2 linked regions of the Arabidopsis thaliana genome follow. The protein of the gene in region 1 interacts with the protein of each later gene in a pairwise test. Each region holds a gene or a part of one and is shown in the gene's direction. Other genes may lie near its edges. The genes, in order: AT5G61865 and HSBP.

Region 1 (11,338 bases):
CTCCCTAAAAACTCTTCAAAATCCCAGATCATATAAAGTATATAAAGATCAACTAGAACAGCTGAAATGTCAGAAGAAGTAGTTGCTAAAACCGGAACCCCGAGATTGAGACTTCAAAACCGGAACAAAATTTACAAAATTCGCTACCGATTGTTAGATCTCACTCACGCCCAGCGTTGACAGCGAGAGCCCAGCGATTTTCATTTGAAGATGCGAAGAAAGCAAGAAGAAAGTTGAAGAAGATTCGTCTATGGCCTATACGACGTCGTTTGAAAGGGATCCATTTTTCGCAAAGGAAAGTCGTTGGGGACTTGAACATTCCACGTCAGCCTCTTTTCCACTTTAAAAAATAACAATGTAATGGGCTGACCGAGAAGATATAAACGCAGCCCATTATTTAATGGGCAAAAGTGTTTTCTTTTTGGGTTAAAGTGTGATTCCGTTCTTGTGAACCTAGTTGTAAACTTTTGTAACTGCAAAGTGTAGTTCGGTCTTGTTTATCCGGTATATTGAATTTTGAAACAGTAATAAATAGCTGAATTAAGTCACTTTTGAGTTGTTTTTCTTTAATGTGAAAATGATACTGAGAAAATAGGGTAGTAATAGGAGGCTTTAGAACAGATTATTCAGTCTTTTCAAGATTCTAAAACTCCAACAGTTAAATAACAGTGGTGAAAACAGTATCAAGAGTACGAGCCGCTACTCGCAATGATGAAGATGATGATATATAATAGTAATGAATTTATATGTTGTAAACTTGTAATGTTAAAGATTAATAATAAACTAAATGAGAGAAAGGACAAAGAAAAGGTAAGAGGAAACTGAGGGAGTGAGACAGTCAAAATAAAACAGACTGAGAGCATTAAGAATGCCAGTCTCTCAGAACTTCGATTTGACCTGTCGTTTCCTCATTGGCTACCTTTCCAACATTAAAGTTTTTTATCGGCTCAATTCCAATGTTATAATTTTTTATATATTTTCACATCATTCTTTTTTTTCACTGTTTAGTCACAAAGTTTACGTAACCCATATGTCCAATCCCACACTTTAATTTGTATTTTTAGTTCCAACATATAAAAATAACAAAATAACCATTGCTTTTTTCCCCACTTTAATTTGTAAGTTCTTTCTGTTATTTAATAAATTTGACATTACCAAAAAAAAAATTTTTAGATGGGTGAATATATATAGAAATGTAACTTATCAAATTGATTCGGTTTTCTGATTTTCTTAACGACTAAAAAAAATATATGTGTACTAGGGCAATAGGGGTAATTACAAATCAGGGAGATGACAACACGTAAGAGATAGTTGAAGAGATTAGACCGAAACACACCTGACCTCCTCTCCTTCTGGAGTTTTCACACTGCATTTATCAATTAATGTTTCCTAAAACGCAGATAGATAAAGGTTTCATTTATTAGCTTATGTTTATTTAAAGCAAAAGAACAACTTGTGGCTATATATAGTAGATTAACAATCTCAGACTCAGAGTGCTGATATTTCTTATCATACAAAATTTATCTTCCCCTAACAATACTTCCAAAGCTTATTTAGATAGACATATATGGAATTATGGATAATGGATTCCCTTAAGTTATATGAATCATAGGGGAATATAATTTTAGTAACTTATCGGGCTTCTGCAAAGATTGTGCATGGTACCATGCGTCCATGCCAATACAGTTAAAGTTTACATAATACAAATTTTTACGTATTTCTATATATCATATATGACTTACAGATTATCATAGCTTAATATAGCCAGTATTGCCAACTTTCCATTCGTACCTAGAACTTATAAGAAGATTGGAAAGGATATTAAAATTGAAAAAGACGTAGGTTGGCCATGTATCTTAAGATAGTTAAACGATATCAGCAATCTATCAATAATCAATCTATCGTAACAAATATTTTTGTCATAAATGTATTTGTAGATTTTTTTTTTTATACTTTTAGATGGTTAAATGTTCAAGAAATCTAACCAAATGGTGGAATGGTTCCGTTTGATCGTGCTCTCATGGTACAAACAATGAGACCCCCCAAAAAAAAAAAACCCCCGAGGATGAAATTAAAACAAATAACACAGCTTGAACAAAACATCAAAAACAGAGGATCATCACAGTAAATATTAATACTTGAACAAAACATCAAAAAGATAGGATCATCACAGTAAATATTAATATGCATAAAGAAGAGAATCACCACAGTGAAAACCCTAATCATTTTATATTCCTACGTGTCAAATTATGAATGGTCATAATCAGAGTAGAGAAAAAGAATGTCGATGAAAGAAAAAGTTTGACTTGTTAAGTCCCAACTGTCAATTTCCCAGCAAGACACATATCTTCTTTTACATCACATTACATCTACACATAAATGCTTTATTGCAAAAATAGCGATATAAAAAAAGAATATACAAAAACCTAGTATTTATTTTCTAGATTCTTTACTGTTGTATATATAGAAGTTGCTCGAGTGGTCATTTTTACAATAAAGCAATCTGCTCAAAAGAGTAAAGAAAGAGAGAAAAAGAGAGTGATAGAGAGAGAGAGAAAAATAGATTATGGATCCTGAAGGTTTCACGAGTGGCTTATTCCGGTGGAACCCAACGAGAGCATTGGTTCAAGCACCACCTCCGGTTCCACCTCCGCTGCAGCAACAGCCGGTGACACCGCAGACGGCTGCTTTTGGGATGCGACTTGGTGGTTTAGAGGGACTATTCGGTCCGTACGGTATACGTTTCTACACGGCGGCGAAGATAGCGGAGTTAGGTTTTACGGCGAGCACGCTTGTGGGTATGAAGGACGAGGAGCTTGAAGAGATGATGAATAGTCTCTCTCATATCTTTCGTTGGGAGCTTCTTGTTGGTGAACGGTACGGTATCAAAGCTGCCGTTAGAGCTGAACGGAGACGATTGCAAGAAGAGGAGGAAGAGGAATCTTCTAGACGCCGTCATTTGCTACTCTCCGCCGCTGGTGATTCCGGTACTCATCACGCTCTTGATGCTCTCTCCCAAGAAGGTACAATAATTATGAATACATATAGAAATATCAAATATCGCACGTTTTATAAATATGTGTATATATTGTTCTCAACATTTCTATGCCCGACTTTCAAGAAAAAGTATGTATATGTTCACGTGACTAATATAGATAACTAATTTATGAATCTTACCATATGTATAGTAGTTGCTACATAATTTTATGTTTAAGCTTTTTTTTTGGTTAAATATATTGGTTAAGCTTTTGTTACATAATACAAGATAATATATGTCATATTTAATTTATATGTTGGATATATTTACTTGTATGATATTGATTTAGAGCTACTGTGTGTATAGAGTATGCAGTCATAGTCTGATATTTATTAAATAGACCTAGTGCAAGAAGTACGAGGATTAATGTCATGTACAGGAATTCAAAGAGTATATACGCCTAAACTTGAATAATTTTTTGTGATTGTGACAATTTATATGTAGATGATTGGACAGGGTTATCTGAGGAACCGGTGCAGCAACAAGACCAGACTGATGCGGCGGGGAATAACGGCGGAGGAGGAAGTGGTTACTGGGACGCAGGTCAAGGAAAGATGAAGAAGCAACAGCAGCAGAGACGGAGAAAGAAACCAATGCTGACGTCAGTGGAAACCGACGAAGACGTCAACGAAGGTGAGGATGACGACGGGATGGATAACGGCAACGGAGGTAGTGGTTTGGGGACAGAGAGACAGAGGGAGCATCCGTTTATCGTAACGGAGCCTGGGGAAGTGGCACGTGGCAAAAAGAACGGCTTAGATTATCTGTTCCACTTGTACGAACAATGCCGTGAGTTCCTTCTTCAGGTCCAGACAATTGCTAAAGACCGTGGCGAAAAATGCCCCACCAAGGTATCTTTTGATTTATCTTCTAAGAACTAATCCTGACCGTTCATTATCTTGAAATTTATGTTTCAAACAAAAGTTTAAAAAATGGTGTCGGAAGTTATGGGGTATGGTAGGGGAACTATAGCTATAATCATGGACAGCTGTTCTAAAAGCAAGTTTGACAAATCACGATTTCTCAGGGTTTTCAATTTTTTATTTTTTTTTGCTATGTCTCGCAACAAAATTTAGGTTCTAATTTATTAAATTTTTCATTTTGTTTTCATACTGTCTTCAGCATAAATATAGTTAGATTTCAATTTCAATTTTGACAGTAAACGTACGACAACGTGTCGAGTTAGGGAAAGGACATAGTTGTTTCTTTGTTTTTGGCTATAACGACATGAGATAGTTAGATACGATATACAAATTTTTGCATGCATTCACACATAGTACACATAGATATTATTAGACTTTTTGACAATTAATAGGGATATTTGTTGTATGTATATATTATTATATCTAGTTACAGTCTATTGCTCGGCGGATAATAGAGGGTCCTCTTTCCTCTAGTGATGATAGTACAGAATCCATGAGCTCTGTGCCATTGCTTGTACAGACGCACGTTACTAAGAAAATCTAATTTATTTGTTTTCTTTCTAAATTTGTTATTGGTTCCAATATTTTGATTATTGTGTTGTTTTTATCAAAAACCTTTTTGTTATCTAATTTTTTGGGTTTAGTTAAGTGTCAAGTCTAACAAGGGTTATAAAAAATATCTAACAACTACGGTTATAATTTTGGTAGGCATTTTTTTTTAATCATTGTTTACCGAATTAAAACCAAACTTATTAGGTTTCATTTTTCCTACTATATATCTCATGATAAATGATTTGTTTGATTATATTGATGTTGGGGAAAATGTGTAAATAGGTGACGAACCAAGTATTCAGGTACGCGAAGAAATCAGGAGCGAGTTACATAAACAAGCCTAAAATGCGACACTACGTTCACTGTTACGCTCTCCACTGCCTAGACGAAGAAGCTTCAAATGCTCTCAGAAGAGCGTTTAAAGAACGCGGTGAGAACGTTGGCTCATGGCGTCAGGCTTGTTACAAGCCACTTGTGAACATCGCTTGTCGTCATGGCTGGGATATAGACGCCGTCTTTAACGCTCATCCTCGTCTCTCTATTTGGTATGTTCCAACAAAGCTGCGTCAGCTTTGCCATTTGGAGCGGAACAATGCGGTTGCTGCGGCTGCGGCTTTAGTTGGCGGTATTAGCTGTACCGGATCGTCGACGTCTGGACGTGGTGGATGCGGCGGCGACGACTTGCGTTTCTAGTTTGGTTTGGGTAGTTGTGGTTTGTTTAGTCGTTATCCTAATTAACTATTAGTCTTTAATTTAGTCTTCTTGGCTAATTTATTTTTCTTTTTTTGTCAAAACCTTTAATTTGTTATGGCTAATTTGTTATACACGCAGTTTTCTTAATGCGTTAACGGATTTTAAAACCAATTTGGTCAAACTCAAAAGTACTAAGATACATTTGAGTTAAGAGCACTGAAAATAACCATTCATACATCGAGAAAGAACTGTGAAGGTGTCATCAGTATAATTAATCAATAATGGGCCAGTTTGAGACAAATATATGGGCCTGGTTTGAGACAAATAGATGGGCCGTGGATATATAAACTTGTGTGTCAGAAATTGCAAACGAAGAAAACAAAAGAGAATTTGAGAAACGACTGTTTGAAATTCGAATCCATTTCTCTTCGGACTTGTGTGATAACTGATTTCCTCCTACAATGGAGTTCCCGCCAAGAGCGTTTTATCCACGGAGATTCCAGGCCTCTCCGGCGCAATACACGGCGGAGGAAAGTGCTGCAGCAGTATCGGCGCCAGATCTCCGAGATAAGCTCGCGACACTGGTCGATCGCACCAAGAAAGTGAAAATGGCGTACCATCAACTCCAATCGCAGATCGCGTTCGGCCTTGTCGAAGTAAAGATAAATGCTCTTCTCTAGTTTGTTAGATTCGATTTCTAAGTAGATCTAAGCTTGATTCAAACGAATTTGAGAGAGGTAATCCTATTATCTGGTTTGGTAGATTCGAGCTTGATTTGAACGATTCCGAGTGTTGCGTACTCTTTAAATTGGTAGTTTCAAGCTTAATTTGAACAATTGTGGGTGTTGCAACGAATTTGATAGAGAATTTGATAATTTAAAGGCAGGTGAAGTTTTCGATTCTCTGGCGATCCCTTTGATGAAGTTGGTTGGGCTGAAAACGTCGGAGATGGAGAGTGAAGGGAGACACTCCGCCTTTATTTTCAATACTGTGAGTGATATCAATCATCTTCTTGTAGAATCATGAAATTGCAAATTTTCAGATCATTACTCTAATTTTCATCAGGAAAGGTATCATCATATGGATACTGCACGGTCTGGTGATCTGAACATTCAAATTCGCAGTTCAAAGGTAGTATAGTAGTATACATCATGATTCTTATAACATATGTATGCCTAGTTATAATGAAGACTGAACGTGAACCAATTGATATGATTCTGAAACTGTTATGTGTCTAGGCAAGTGTCATTCTGATGATTCTGTATATGTGTATCCCTTGTTCTACTATAGATGTGATGCGAAAAAAGCAATATGATTCTGAAATTGTAACGGGTCTTGTCAAGCTTCACTTTGGTGATTGCCTATTTAGTATGACTAATTTTACTAGATATTGAATGTGAAACCAAACAATGTGATCCTGAAACTGTAAAGCGTCTAGTCAAGTTTTAGTTTGGTGATTCCTTATACATGTATACCTAATTCTGGTATAGAGTGAATGCAGACTAATAAATATGATCATGAAACTGTGATGTGCCTAGTCAAGTTTCATTCTGGTGATTCGTTATTAATGTTTGGCTAGTTCTGCTATAGATTAATGAGAACCAATAGGGAATATAGTTTAGATGCTGTCTTCTCTACACTTTCTGTTTCAAATTTTAATCAATTGCATCACAAAGCTGTTTGGAAAACCATTTGTACCTTCATGTGGGTTTGGAGCTTGCAGTTAAATATATAATTCTGCCTACTTTGAGTGGATTTCTTCCTCAGAAGTTCATTTGAAGTATCATGATTTTGTAGGAAGAAAACTATGCTGCTAAAGCCGAAACAGCGGGGAAAGAGATCTTGCACAAGCATAAGGGGCAGCTGAGACAGTTAGTTCATATGCTTAAGCACATTGAAACACAGGTGAATTCACATCGGGAAGATATTCTGCAGATGGTTGACGATCGTAGAACCTTCTTCCAAGAATTCATCCAGAAGTCTCTTTATTACCTAAGCTCGGTTCACAGCCAAAACCATGACACTTTCCCTGTCACAGTGAAGCTCCTTCGCGTACTATTTAATAACATCAACGAGGTGCTTGGTTCAGTAGATACTGGAGTCAATGATTTTATGCAGGCTTTAGCAAAGAATATGTGTCACCCGATGACCAAGTACGTAGGCAACTTGGCTGCTGAAATAAAGCATGGCCCTTGTGTGCAACTGATGAATGTAGTGAATGAGATGGAGAGATCAAACTCAGATACAAGGAGAGAGCTACAAGATGCTAGAGAAAGGATTAGACTTGCAGAAGAGACAAAGATCAACGCTTTATCAAAGCTGAAAAAAGCTGAAGATCAAGTTCAGAGGATGACAACATCTGCCAAATTTCTTCTACCCGCGAGTCAGAAGAAACAAGCTGAACATTCTATTACCGGCAAGGTAAAATTTCGATAATGAGTTTTGTTTGTGAAAGCTCAAATGATTAAGTAAGCGCTAAAAGGGTTTTTGTTTCATCCTTTTGTCCATGTAGCGTATAGGCACAGAGGGAAGCCGAGAACACGAAGAGAAACTACTTTGGGAACTACTGAGCAAAAGGAGAAAGCAACAAGAGCCAGAGAGTCCAATGGGACCTAAAGAACTCATCAGACAATCAGACACAAAGCAGAAGACATTGGTGTACAATCGCCGAAGGACTAGGAGCCAAGCACTGTTAAGTTCTCAAACCGCACGCCCTGATGCTTTGATCCCACTTGGTTTGTCACCGTCTGCTAGAACAGTAACCTGGAGGTAAGTAAACTAAAGCACACGTCTCACTCATTGCATCAGAATCTATCTTCACTACGCTTTGAAAAACAATGAGATCCAGTAGCTTCTTTAACACTTAAGCACCTTAAATAAAATACTCGTTTATCTTGTCATTAGTTACACTTTAATAAGTCTTGGTAATTTCTTGAGATGGTGTTTCAACAGTCAGAAACAAAACGTCTTTGTTAGAGTTGCACCGAAACCTTTGTTTTGTATAACTATGGACCCTAGCTAATCCTGGTGACTATAATGATTAACCAACTTAACTTCTAATAAACACAATGATACATACAAACATTATATTTCTAACTACATTGCATAAATCGAACCATCTAATCTGTTATGTTACTGGATACATTGTATCAACCTATGCAAGAGTTTTCGAATGAAAAGTTGGGATGATCAAAGTTTAATTAATCTTCAAAAAATAAATAGTGGGGCCAAAATAGAATTTCTTGAAAAACTTGGGGGTTGTACTTCAATACCCACGTTTTATAAATAGTGGGCTTAACTTTTTACATGTAGGCCCAAATCATCTTCCGACGTCGGTTAGGGTTCTTGTTGATGATATCACCTGAAACTCTGAGTTTCTCTCTCCGCCTCCGTCATAGAACGCAGAACTGGGTGGATCACCGTGGTCGTCAAATTCCTAGCTCCTCGACTCCAAAAAAAAATCATAAACGTATTACCGTCTCTTGTTTTCCTCGTAAGGTTCTCAAAATCGATTATCTTCATTACACTCGACTTGTCTCTGTTTCGAATCCTACGTCGTGTTTTTCTTTTCAGTATTCGGTTACGAGAAATCTTAAACCGTACTTACATTTCAGGTATTATATCGGTCGAAGTCTCCAATCATCGGTCTGAGTAATCTCTGACAATGGTATGTGTAATTTCCCGACCGATTGTTTCTCTAGTTTCAAAGTCCACACTTTTTTTCTGATTAGAGCCAATTTTATTGAAATTTCTTAGAAGCTCATAAAAATTTACAAGTGAAATCATCACTAAAATATTGAGAACTGTTGCTTCTCCATGACCTTGGTTATTTGTAGAGATCCTTAAGTTGAGCTGGTTTTTGATTGAATATTGTTGCATAGGAAATTTTCTTTTTTATTAGTGTATCTTTCAACAAGAAATTGTTCTCAGTGATTGATTAACGTGTATTGAAATTTCTTGAGCATTTGTGTGCAAGGCTGCAAGAGTTTTGGCAAGTGTGATTGTGATGGGCTCTGGAATCATAGCCAGGGCTTGTACTCAGGCATATCGTCAGGCGCTTGCAAGTATGTCTTTTAATTACAATGTTCTTGTTTTCTTTCTGGGCAAGAATGAATTTATCAAAGATTCGTTGTATTGTGTGTGTGTAAGTGTAAGTTACTTTGCGAAATTGTTGATAAACATTGTTTGGAATGGTTTACAGATGCATCAAAAACCGGGGTTGCGCATGAAGCGACACAGACTATTAAGAGAGGGTTGACTATAGGTGAAGCAGAAGCTAGACAGATTCTTGGTGTAACTGAGAAATCATCTTGGGACGAGATTCTTAAGGTTTGTCTTCACACTTCACCCCGGGCTGGCTGTGCAAACGCGAATAGCGGTTTATAGTTTCTAGTTTCTACTGCTGATTGAAAAAAGAGACCCTTATTCTCATTGAGATTATATGTTATGTTTGTAGAAATACGACACGTTGTTCGAACGCAATGCGCAGAATGGAAGCTTCTATCTCCAATCTAAGGTCCATAGAGCTAAGGAATGCTTAGAGACTGCATACCAGAAGAGTACAACAACAAGCGCATGAACAAGCAATAAAACAATAGGAGCAAATCAGGAACATATCTTTTGATACAAGTTATAGTTTTAGGACAGAAGTTTGAAATTGAGTGGAGATAGCCGCAAAAGTTGAAATTGAGACAAGGTCGGTGATGGCCGGAATGCTGCCAGTAACCGACTCACCGGCGTTGTTAAAAGTCTTGTTATTTTGTTTAATAATATTGACTTTTCTAGTTCTTAGGTAAACTAGTTGAATTCTAGCATGTCTATTGAATTATCTGAGTTTGAAAAATCCGTCTACTTCATTTTAATTACCAAATATATTGATCACCAACAAAATCGTAGATAAAACGAACACGTTCCTATTAGTCTACGAAAAAATAGGACTTGCAATTTTTTTTTTTTTTTTTTTTTTTTCATAATTATACATCTTTAGTTATACTTTTTACGATTTTAGTCATGTAGATTCAAATACACTTTGGATTTAGTGGAATACTTCTGTATTTTATTTGATAGTCAACTAAATTGATAGAGTTGCACTAGCTAGTAGCTACTAAACCAAGTGGTGTCTGACTTTGAAGTCCAAGTCCAAGACTTCAAGTGGGTTTAAGAGCGTTTAGCAAAGTTGAATCGATGTCTATTACACGTCTAAGCCGATCCAAACGAGAATGAAGCTTTTTATATATTTTATGTCGAATTGTCGACCGCCGAATTTCGTGATCCACACACTACAATTAATGCTGATTTAGAAAGACTTTTAAAGTCAACTAAATATTACACTATCGATGGTATGAAAGTAGACTACATTAGTATTGCGTTAAAGACTGGTCAAACATCAACGGAACGTAGTTTTCTTTATGGTATTTAATTGCACCATAATCGATACTCTATATTTGCAATCTGTATAATGTATATCAACTATCTAATGCATTTTATCGTGCGTTGAAGTTCGAATCGGTGATGTTATGTTGTCATGTATGTAGGAGCCAAAAACCTCCAAGATATTAACCAAAAAAACAAGAAAACACGTTCAATAAATCTTAACGCGGAAGACAAAAATGACACTCAAAAACATTCAGGAAGCATATGATCATCTCAATTTTGACGGGAAATGTATCATTACTTCATCACAAGTAACTGATCAAATCTCCTAATTAATATCCCGAATGAGGAGAGGAAGAAGAATCCCCAAAGCGCCAGAATCTGGCATAATCTTGCTCTTCTTGTTGCCTAGAAGAGCCACCAGAAGACGAAGAAGTTGTAGCAGCAGTCGTAGTACTATTATCATGAGACATTGAATATCCGGTACCACTCCCATACCCACCGCCCAAATTAAAACTTAGCATATCACCACTACTCGCATCATGATAGTATTGATTATAGTTCGGTATACTTTGTGGTTCCATTTGTGGAATTTGGTTGGAGGAGTAATATGTAGAGTTACTTCCAAGCTGAACCCTCTCCGGGAAATTGAGTTTTGCTTTGCTTCCTTTGAACTTTAGGGCTGCTTCATCATAAGCTAAGGCCGCAGATTCAGCGGTTTCAAATGTCCCGAGCCACACACGTGCCGCCTTTTTTGGGT
Region 2 (10,341 bases), on another chromosome or scaffold:
ATAAATCCTAATTAAACCCTAAAAATACTGTTAAAGACAAACAGAAAACTACAAAATACATCTTTTGTATATTTGGAAGCTTTTGGTTTTATGGAATCGGAGAAGCCTGGGATTGTTTCAATTCTCGCTGCAGCAACGGTCGATTCGGAGAAACCTCGCGTTTCAATTTCTGCGGTGAGAGCGATTGCGGCGGCAAGAGCTGATTCGTTTCTTCTCACGCGTACTCTCTCTGGGTTCGTTTTCATCTGCTGGTTCTGTTCCAATTCGTGCACCTGTTACAATTGATGAGGATGATGATGATACTGGTACTGTAACTGATGAACATAACTCAGCAAGTAGTGAAGCTAGTAGTTATAGTAATGGACTTGATTTTGAGACTGATGAAGATGAGACTGTGTTAGAGGATGTGGTTTTGGATGGGGTTAGGGTAGATAGGCTACTAGGGGAAGAGTTAGGTGGAGATGGAAGTGAATTTCAGGTGGGAGTGGGATTTATAGACCATTTGCAGGTGATGTTGACGAGGAAACGTCGGTGAATTACTCGTCTTTGGGAGGAAGATGGTGAGAACAGTGATGAGGTTTGCGAGAGTGAAGTTAGTGGAGATGAAAGAGGTAGTATGAAAGCAAAAGTAGTCATTCCTCGGGCTGTTTTGTCTTTGGATGATGATGAGTTTGATGAAATTTTGGGTAGTATGATGAAGAGGCTGTGCTGTTGGGTGTAACTAAGGCTCCAGGTGATGAAGAAGCTGAAGTTGAAGATAGAGGGTCGCAGTTTGGAGATAAGGGAGTGGTTATGAACCAGAGTGTTCGGATTCTTTTATAGGTGATGTTGATTCTGAAGAGGTGAGAATGAACTATTCAGATAAATTAGATGATGGTTTGATGTCCTTTGGGAATATTGAAGAATCAAGTCTCGGTGTTCCACCAGAAGGTTCTAGTGATTTTATGGCAGAAAATGAAGGGAACTCTAGTGAGGCGAGTATAGAATTGGGTCAAAATTTCAAGCAACTCATCGAGAAAGGGGATAGTAAAAGTACCATCAACAAGGAGGATAGTGGTGGTAGCATTCATGAATTTGACGCATTGATGAAGCCAAGTGATGTAGAAAGAGTAGAAGATAGTGCAGTTGAATTAGCAAAAATGGGAATGAATGATAAACCAGAATACGCAGGTTCTAATATAGGTGAACTTGTATCCATAGAGGAAGTTATGGTACAAGAGAAATCTTCTGACAATGTGTTAGTGTCTTTTGAGAGTAGTCTTGGTGTTATGACAGGTGAATGCAAGGAGTTTCTGGTGGAAAGTGAAGGAAACGCTGTTGATGAGGATAAAGGATTAGATGAAACTGTAAGCAGCCTTGTCGAACAAGGGGTGGGTCAAGCTAGTACCAGCAAGGAGAGCAATAACAGAACTGATGTTGGTAGTGTCTGTGATGCAGATGAATTGATAATTCCACGTGACGAGTCTATTGGATCAGAAAGCAGAGACTCAGGGGATAAAGACGCTGGAAATATGATAGGCAAGGCAGAAGAACACTGTGAAAATGATCGTGGTGCTGTTAGCGAATTAGAAAAACTTGAGTGCGCGGATGAACCTGAAATTGGTATGAGTTCTGAAAGTTTTCAGTTAACTCCAACTTCAGATTCTGAAATGATAATGAACCTTGAGGTCGCTGGAGGAATAGATGTCGTTGTAATTGGTTGTGGTTCTTCCGATCAAAAAGCTGAAGAAGAATCTGAAAATGAAGGAAATCAAGAATCAGACGATACTGATAGGAAGTTGTCACTTCCTGATGAAGATAGAGCATCAAGTTTAATAAGTTCCTTTGAAACAGCCAATGAGACTGTGGAAGATGGGAATCAATTAATAAGCAGGTCAATTTTCAGTCTGATAGCGAAGCAAACCAAATCTCAGTGGGCATAGAAGAAACCAGTTTGCTTTCGGTTAAAGACATTGAGAGGACCATGCCTGAAAACTCTTCCGTAATTGCTTATGATATAATGGAAAATGAGACGATGGCACGGCTGATTCATAATCACACTTTTATGGAGCTTGACGAGTACGAAGGAACAGGTGATACAAGTGAGAAACTCACTGGATCCAGTTTCCAGAATTCTTCAGAACTATTATCCTCTAATCATTCTGTGGAGCTGATAAGTGAGAGAGTGAAGGAAAGAGTTGAGAAGACTCAGCTCTTGAAGGAAAAGCTCCAGAGGATTATAAGAAGAACATGTCTTAGCCGTGAAAATTCAACTGTTACTAAAGTTGCGTCTAAGATGAGCCTAGCTGGTGGAGAACATCCAACGTCCTTAGGGCTTGATCACATGTTTGACGGAACAAAGATAGTGCTGCCTGAACAAGAGTTTCCAGCTGATCTAGACTTCTCCATTAACGTCCTTGTTATCGGGAAAACTGGGGTGGGAAAAAGTGCAACGGTTAATTCTATTTTTGGGGAGACTAAATCTGCTGTTGGTGCATTTGGAGTTACCACTAACTCTGCAAATTATGTTGTTGGGAATGTAGGAGGAATCCAGATAAGTATACTTGATACGCCAGGACTCTTGTCCTCTGCAACTGAGGAACAGTTTAATCAGGAAGTCCTTATGTCAATAAAGAAAAGCATGAGAAAGTTCCCAGTTGATATCACCTCTATATTGACCGTCTAGATGACACTCCAGACATCCGTTTACTTAAAATCATCACCAGTTCCCTGGGCTCGTCAATATGGAAAAATGCTATCGTGGTTCTAACTCATGCAGCTTCCGATGTTGTAGATTCTTTAAGCTACAAGGAGTTTATTTCTCAGAGATCTTCTCTTATGCATCAATCAATCAGACAAGCAGTTCCAGAGTTAAGCTGTATAGACCAGAGCAAGATGCCTAGGAATTGTTCTGGCAGAGAACAACATGAGCTTCTTCTCCGCAAACAAAAGCAGCGAATCTACATGTTCGGATTGGAGATTGAACTTGCTGATCTTATGTTGCTCAGTTAAGATCCGGTCTAAAGCCGGTTCTTTGCAAAAGCAGAATACCGATGTAGAAAAGGCCGGTGTCTTTGGCTCCCAGCTTAGCTCTTTCACTCTATTCTGTTCCTTGTGGAATGTGTTACTTAACTCAGGGCACACTTCTCATTCACATGATGATTTGGAGGAGAAGAAAAGGAAATTACTGGATTCTTACCCTGAAATTATATGGGACGAACAGAGTCAAGAATGTCTCGAGCAAGAAACACTTCTCGTGGAGAATCAAGAATCAGAAGACGTGGAGAGACAACATGAAAAAGGAACTGTACTTGGTCGTGTAAGAACCAGAAGAGGAAGACTTGGATTCCAAGCAACAAAAAGGTTCGGTATCTATCTAGATACATCTGATGTGCACGCAGGGTTTTCCATTGGAAGCCGAGACTGTAGAAGAAATGTACAAGAAGAAGGGAAGATCTTGGTGAGGATGAGAGGCTCCATGTCTGTTTTAGGTTTGGTTCCTATGTTGATATCCGTATTCACTTCTGGAAAAGATATTTAAAATTGGAATTTGCTCTTGTTGTAGAAGTTGTAACATATCAGATGTGATCGTCGTGTCTTTTGTATTCCATTGATAATACACGAAAATTAACTATATCAAATACCAATGGTGTGAGGATAAGCAACATTTCACTTGTCTCCTGATTGTCTTGTGGTCAGGTTTGTTACTTCTTCCTCTATTGGGTTGTGGAGGATTAGAATCTCTCACATGGAGATAAGATGCTTATGTATGTCTTTTGGTTGTAATCATATAATTATATAAATCATGTGTTTCATTTCTCTTGTAAAATCATGATAGTGTTCAACAACCTCGTTAATATATCTATTGATGGTAAGAAACAAATAGGCTGTTCCAAATCTACATACTTCAGTCATCAATGTGTCAGGGTTTATGCCATTAGTGAGATAAGTCGTTATACAACACAATTCGAATTGGTCTGCCTTTAATCATCAAGAGGAACAAAAAGTTAAGCCAAATTTACAAATAAGATGATTACAAATAAATGTTTGCAGATTTGAACATCCACAATAATGATTTGAATCATCCTAAGATCTAGATCTCAATACCAAACGTACATAAAAATATTTGAAATTTGAATCACACACACATGATCCCACCCAATCGAATCATAACGATAGAAACTAAAGTAAAGAGGGGGCATTTTGGACATTGTATACCTATAAGGTTGGGGTTAACAGTAACAGCGTTTCTCTTCTCGTTTTATAAACATCGCATCACTCTTCTCCTCCGTCGTCTCTCATCGCTTTTCGCTGAAATCAAAATTTCTCCAGTTTTCCGATCACTCGCAAGAAAACCCTAAAAATGGTAAATATCCGCCTCCTAATATCATTGCGCTTTTTCGATTTTGCGTTTTCGTTCACGAAACCTAGGCTCGTTTATTCGGATTTGTCGATTGCATTTAAGGATATATCTTCGGATTAGGTTTTTTTACGGTTTAGTGGGAATCTCGCATGATATTCTTATGGTTGTTCTGTTATTGTAGATCAATTATCGAAATGTTGAGTTTATAGTGAAATCTGGACGATTTAGAGCATCTTTTGCTGGGTTACAATAAGATTTTGCATTTGCTCGATTTTCTGTTTTCATCTGTGGATTTTGAACTTGTGAATTCGGCTTTTCAAGAACTCTAGTATCGTGAAGTCCAGGATCTGATGGGGAGATTCAGTATAAGTTAACTTTTTCGTCCTTTTTCTTACTTAGAAATGTTCATGTATCGAGTTTGCTGTGTGTAATGCTAGTAGTACTAAGAAAGTTCAGATAGAAATATTCTCAATGGGCAATAGTTCATGCTTGTTTCTTTCCTTGTAACAATTTTTTTTCGTTAGTATAAAGCTTCAATTTCTTGTCCTGATGATTGTTATATTTACTGTGTCTTTGAGTTTCTTCTTACAGTTTTTTTTTTCTTTTGCTGACAGGATGGTCATGATTCTGAGGATACTAAGCAGAGCACTGCTGATATGACTGCTTTTGTGAGTATTCTCGTTCTCTTTGTTTGGTATTTTTGTGACTTTGAGACAATTTCACTTGGTTTATCACTGAATCCTTGAATTTTTATATGCAGGTCCAAAATCTTCTCCAGCAGATGGTAGGTTTTTCAGCTTTTATGTCTTCGTAGGCCTTGGAATTATACCTTCAATAGGTAGATTTTGATTAAATTTGGTCACATTTGTGTGTTTCAGCAAACCAGGTTCCAGACAATGTCGGACTCCATCATCACAAAGAATATCCTTATATCAATCTGTGGTTTTACTTGAGTGTTGCTTGAAGTAGAATATATGAAATGTTTCCCTCCTAGAACCAGTAATGATGATTGATTATTTGTGTCTTCAAGGAAAGAAGTTTAGTACTAGGTATTGAGAATTATCATTAGAATCTGTCTATTTTTCTGATTAAAGTATTTCTTGAGAGTCTAAATGTCTATTCTATGGGTAGTAGCACATGGTTCTATGGTATTTTCTCTTGTTAAGTTGCTATTATATGCATGCTTGTTCTTCTGCTCGCTATATATTCTAAACAAAAGCAACTTTATCACCATGAACTGATACAAGTTTGTAATCTGTGGTAACTCTTTGATCAGCAATCTTGTGTTCATGACATTGGTTTTGATCTCCTTGACTTTGATTTTGATTTGATGGTTCACTTGATGACATGGGAGGCAGAATCAATGAGCTGGAGCAAAGCATCAATGATCTAAGAGCCGAGATGGGAGTAGAAGGCACTCCTCCTCCAGCCTCCAAATCAGGCGATGAACCCAAAACACCGGCTAGTTCCTCTTAAAAAGGAATGTGGTGTTCATTGACATGTCCGAAGGAAAAAGAAAAACTATGAAATATGTTAAGAGCAGGCAGTATTACTTTTAAAATTCCTGTTTTAAGAAACGAGTTTGTTGTTTATTAAAGTTCATCAAATAGATTGATGATGTGGTGCATTACATTATTCTCCACCTATGAATTGCATTTCTATTTTGGTCTTGAGAGAACTAAGAAGTCTTCTTATGCTCCTATAATTCATATTACTGTCGATACTTAAACGCAACTTATCAGGGGGAATAGACAAACCAAGTTCATTGTTCCATTTTTGGGTTTGATTCCGGTTTTATTTTTTCAGATTTTGAATTTAGAAAAGGTTAAAGTATAGGAGCCATAGTTAGACTGATCGATTTATCAAAATCGAATCTCATAGCTGTATTAGGCTTTGATTATTTCGCATTTGTGTTTACATGAAAAAGGTCGGTAGAAATTTTTTAACAGTCTATTTTTGCCCAATGTGAATATATTTTCAAAGAGGATATGTTTAGCCTGCGTTTACAACTAAAAACAAAAGTTGTTTAAAATGTTGAAAATTGCAAGGTTTCAAAGAAACACACTAGATAGAAAAGTAGTCACAAGACTATCATTATCGAATAAATCAATAAACAACTGGTGATGAGTTGGTTTATGCTTGTCATGAGGTATGAGTTTGCGGTCCAAAACCCCTTTTCTCCAAAACTTTGGTTTTTATTTCTCTGTGACAAAGCCCCTTGAGGACCCCGGAGGAGCAAATAAAGTGTATCTTCGAATATCAATGCTTTGTTATTTTGTTTTGACTATTTTTTCTCCAAATCAGCCTCCCTCTAATTATGGGGAGTAAATTTAGTGTCTTCCCCCTATTTTCTTTTCTCATCATCTTTACATTGTGTAACGTTTTCTTCTCTTTTGAGTTTTGACAATTTTTCTCCTCCAAGTGGCTCCATGACTCAGATTCTTTTGACATATTGCTGATAGACTTTAATGTAATTTGTATTAGTTTTAAATAAATGAATCGAATACATAAGATTATAAGAAGAAGAAAAAAACGTAATAAATACGCCACGTGTGTGTGGTTTCTGGCGAAAGTATTTGCCATGTGAAGCTGCCCCTTTAGTTGGCCCCAACCAAATACCAATTATTGCCTCTTCTCTTATTTTCCCACTTCTCCACATTTAATACTATTTCTCTTAATACACTATCTCATTATTCAACCCGATAAAATAAGGAAAATACCAAATTTGATTTCTTCCCCAATCATACAAATATTTCCCTTCATACAAAAAAAAATGAAACAACTACAATTTTAATATCCATATAAATTCCAATATGAACACCTGGTTTTTTCTTCAGCACATGCAAAAAGCACCCATACATAACATTTGATATATTAATCAGAAATGTATAATACATCTATATATATTTCTGTTCATATATCAAACTTATATTGAGACTGTATGAAACTATATTGCAATGCAAAGTATAAACATAGTAAACACCAATCAAAACAAATAATAATCTGAAAAATTGTATAAAAATCAAAACAAAAGAATTTGAGAGTAAAAATTTTAAAGTACATAGAGAAAGAGATTATCGCCTGCAACGAGTAATAGCGCTACAGCCACGAGAGTAAGGATTAGCCTGAGCTCCACGTCGGCAATTGTAGTAAGATGCGCCGCGTCGTGAGCAAGGAACTGTGTTTCTCCTCAGCGCACCGTAGCTTATATACTTCGTTGTTGCTAAAATACGCCTGTTGATCTCAGAGTCCATCTCGAACTCTTCCTCCGCCGTGGATAAGGAGCACTCGGCGATGGTACCGTTGCATTTCGACTCGATCGGTACGAAATCGCCGGAGGATTGGGAGGTTACGGCGGCGAATAAGAAGTGGACGGTGAGAATTGCGATGATTATCGCAACGGGTTTTGTGGAGAGTCCTCTCATTGTTTCTTTCTTCTTCTTTCTCTGAGGTTTTTTTTTTTGGAGGTTTCAAAAGTTTTATTGAAGAAAGAGAAAGAAATGGTTTAAAAGAGAATGAGTTATTGAAATTGCCACTAGGATTTATATTATTTACGATTTATGCCACTTGACACTAAAAGTTGTTTAACGCGCTTTTCCCACTAAAGTCTAAATTTTCGTTTTTGACTTTTTATTTTTTATTAAATTAGGATAAGAGATGAATGACAATATTATATGTGACGCATTTTACTTGAATATGCTACCAACTAAATGAAAGAAATTTTATATAAGGCTCGAATTTGAAATTAGTGGAATTGATAAATTTTGAATGAATGAAAAGAATTTTGCCCCCCAAAAAAAAAGGAATGAAAAGAAATAAGATGAATATATATATATATAAAAAAAGCTTGGTTGTTGGTTCATTGATTGATCGATTTATTAAAATTAAAAGCTTCTATGTTCTTTGAATTTGGAGAATGCAAATTATGATCAACGAATTATTCGAAATAGGTTGGTTTTGTATTCTAGACCAAACCGGTTTGTTCATTGGTTTATGGAAATTTCTGAATATCTGATTTGGGAGCTTCATTTCACAATTTCACTCTATCATGGTGTCAAGAACAGAGGAGGAAGCTCGGTTTTGAGATCTGTACACGAGTTGGTTCTGTATCAACTTGTTGACATATCAATCTGCAGCAAACCATTGTGTCATGGTGCATCATTAGAATCAACTAAACCGCGGAACTACATATTAAGCATACTAGTACAATCTCAAGGTAGTGGTAACAGTAGTGGCGAGAATATCATAAGAACAAACAATTTCATATTATCTAATGTTCTGCTTCTTTGGCATTATCATCAGTCGATAGAGCTTCCACTTTCTCTTCTGTCACCTCACTTCTCTTATCAATTTGCTCTTTTGAATCTTGTAGCTGCAAAGCACAAAACAGATAATCGTGGAGGAGAACCATAGATTAGTTTCTGCAAGTCTAAAAACCGGTCTTTTCTTTGGGTTATAATATTGAAAATACTTTTAGGAAGAAGAGTGTATCACGAGAGACTCACGCCTAAGCTTTTCAGGCTAGCGGAAACATCATCTTGCTGTTGATTCAAGGTAGTTTTCAGATCTTTGAATTCCTAGTTTTTATGGAGACAAAACGAATCAAACATGTATCATGAATAGAAACCGTTTAAATATTCATGTGGCTGCTGGCTCAATATACATACATACCTCACGAAGCTGCTCAACTTCAAGATTCAGAGTCTTCTTTAGCCCAGAGAGCTCCTGTAAAAAACCAAGGAAGAGTATACATCGAATGTCAAAACAGTTCAAACTGATCCCGGCTAAAACAGCAATTCTCTTGCTTGATACCACAAAATGGATAAAGAGGACTAGATATGGAACTCACCTCACGGTAGACTTTAACTTGAGTGTCCAATTTACCTCTCCAACTTTGCAAGTCCTGCGACGATAAGATATAAAGATTGGTTTGTTTTAAAAAGACAACAGATGTTCTAAAACAACATGACAATGTCAGAGATGAGAATGAAAGTGTTAAAACCTGTTTCAGATTCTGGATCCTGTTTAGTAACTCAGCCCTTGATTCATTCAATTCCTACATAAAACGAAATCAAGACTTGAGAAAAACCGCTTGATCAGAAGATTTGACTAAAAACACTAATAGTATCTAACAACACAGCGACGTACCGTGAGCTTCGAATCAACAGGATTGGTATTATCTTTCTTCTGCAGCAGAAAGAACAACCAAGATCAACATCAATTTCAATTTAACCACTTAAAAACAATTCCACAGGGAAACAGATATTATAACTCTTAAGCTGTACAAACCAAAATCATAAGCCTGTTATATATATATATATAAACAAGAAAAGTATGCTTTAAGACCAATGTGAGATTGTTGTTAATTGCACAGAACTAAAGATATACTACACAGTAATGGCTCACGATCCAAATCTGACTTCAAATCTAAAGAGATACTACACAGTGATAGCCCAAGATCCACCAAAGGTAAAAAGCTTTGCATGTGAATCAACTCAACATCAATGTAATCAGAATCTGAAATTGTTAAATCCGTGGAACGATAAATTCAGACAATTCCAACAAAAACATAAAAATACACAGTAATAAGAGTAAAATTTCAGGCAAAAATCGGAAGAAACGAAACCTTCTTCTATACTATACCACTTGAATTCGAATCGAGAATACAGAACACAATGATATGTTCGAAGTTGCAGACAAAACACAGATCTAGGTCCGAAATGCCATATCTAAACTCGAAACCCTAGATAAATTAGATCAAAAACCAAATTATATTAATCTCATTTTGAACCTAAAATTCAGAAACCTAGAGCTCCGAGACTACGTCCGCGTCCATGAAGCGTAAAATTAAAGCGATTAAAGAGAAATTGAGAGAGTTTACAGTAGCAGTAGGAGAAGATACGGAGAGAGGAGCCACGGGAGATGTTGAATCGGAGGTTTGGTCCGCCATTATCGATGTAAACTCGGAATCAAATTGTCAATAGAGTAGAAGCTTGTAG

Evidence for each region.
Region 2: the proteins of AT5G61865 (region 1) and HSBP interact in a two-hybrid assay, tested with the Arabidopsis thaliana proteins (one large-scale study listed by BioGRID).

The regions. Positions count from the first base shown.
Region 1 is NC_003076.8:24,841,729-24,853,066, forward strand, and holds AT5G61865 (uncharacterized protein), read left to right. Parts: upstream 1-5,581; 5' UTR 5,582-5,666; coding exon 5,667-5,861; intron 5,862-6,087; coding exon 6,088-6,195; intron 6,196-6,270; coding exon 6,271-6,336; intron 6,337-7,002; coding exon 7,003-7,626; intron 7,627-7,717; coding exon 7,718-7,978; 3' UTR 7,979-8,390; downstream 8,391-11,338. Other genes in the region: LFY (floral meristem identity control protein LEAFY (LFY)), read left to right, coding at 2,567-3,023, 3,482-3,888, 4,795-5,205; AT5G61880 (Protein Transporter, Pam16), read left to right, coding at 8,870-8,872, 9,182-9,269, 9,407-9,534, 9,662-9,784; AT5G61890 (Integrase-type DNA-binding superfamily protein), read right to left, coding at 10,911-11,338.
Region 2 is NC_003075.7:8,982,341-8,992,681, reverse strand, and holds HSBP (heat shock factor binding protein), read left to right. Parts: upstream 1-4,020; 5' UTR 4,021-4,342; coding exon 4,343-4,345; intron 4,346-4,956; coding exon 4,957-5,010; intron 5,011-5,102; coding exon 5,103-5,126; intron 5,127-5,220; coding exon 5,221-5,263; intron 5,264-5,681; coding exon 5,682-5,818; 3' UTR 5,819-6,084; downstream 6,085-10,341. Other genes in the region: AT4G15810 (P-loop containing nucleoside triphosphate hydrolases superfamily protein), read left to right, coding at 91-220, 333-508, 587-689, 823-1,873, 1,960-2,604, 2,869-3,520; RALFL33 (ralf-like 33), read right to left, coding at 7,417-7,767; AT4G15790 (uveal autoantigen with coiled-coil/ankyrin), read right to left, coding at 8,613-8,714, 8,848-8,919, 9,014-9,067, 9,192-9,398, 9,491-9,529, 10,224-10,292. UniProt on the Arabidopsis thaliana protein: Negative regulator of the heat shock (HS) response. Affects negatively HSFA1B DNA-binding capacity in vitro. Involved in acquired thermotolerance but not basal thermotolerance. Crucial for seed development, after fertilization and during embryogenesis.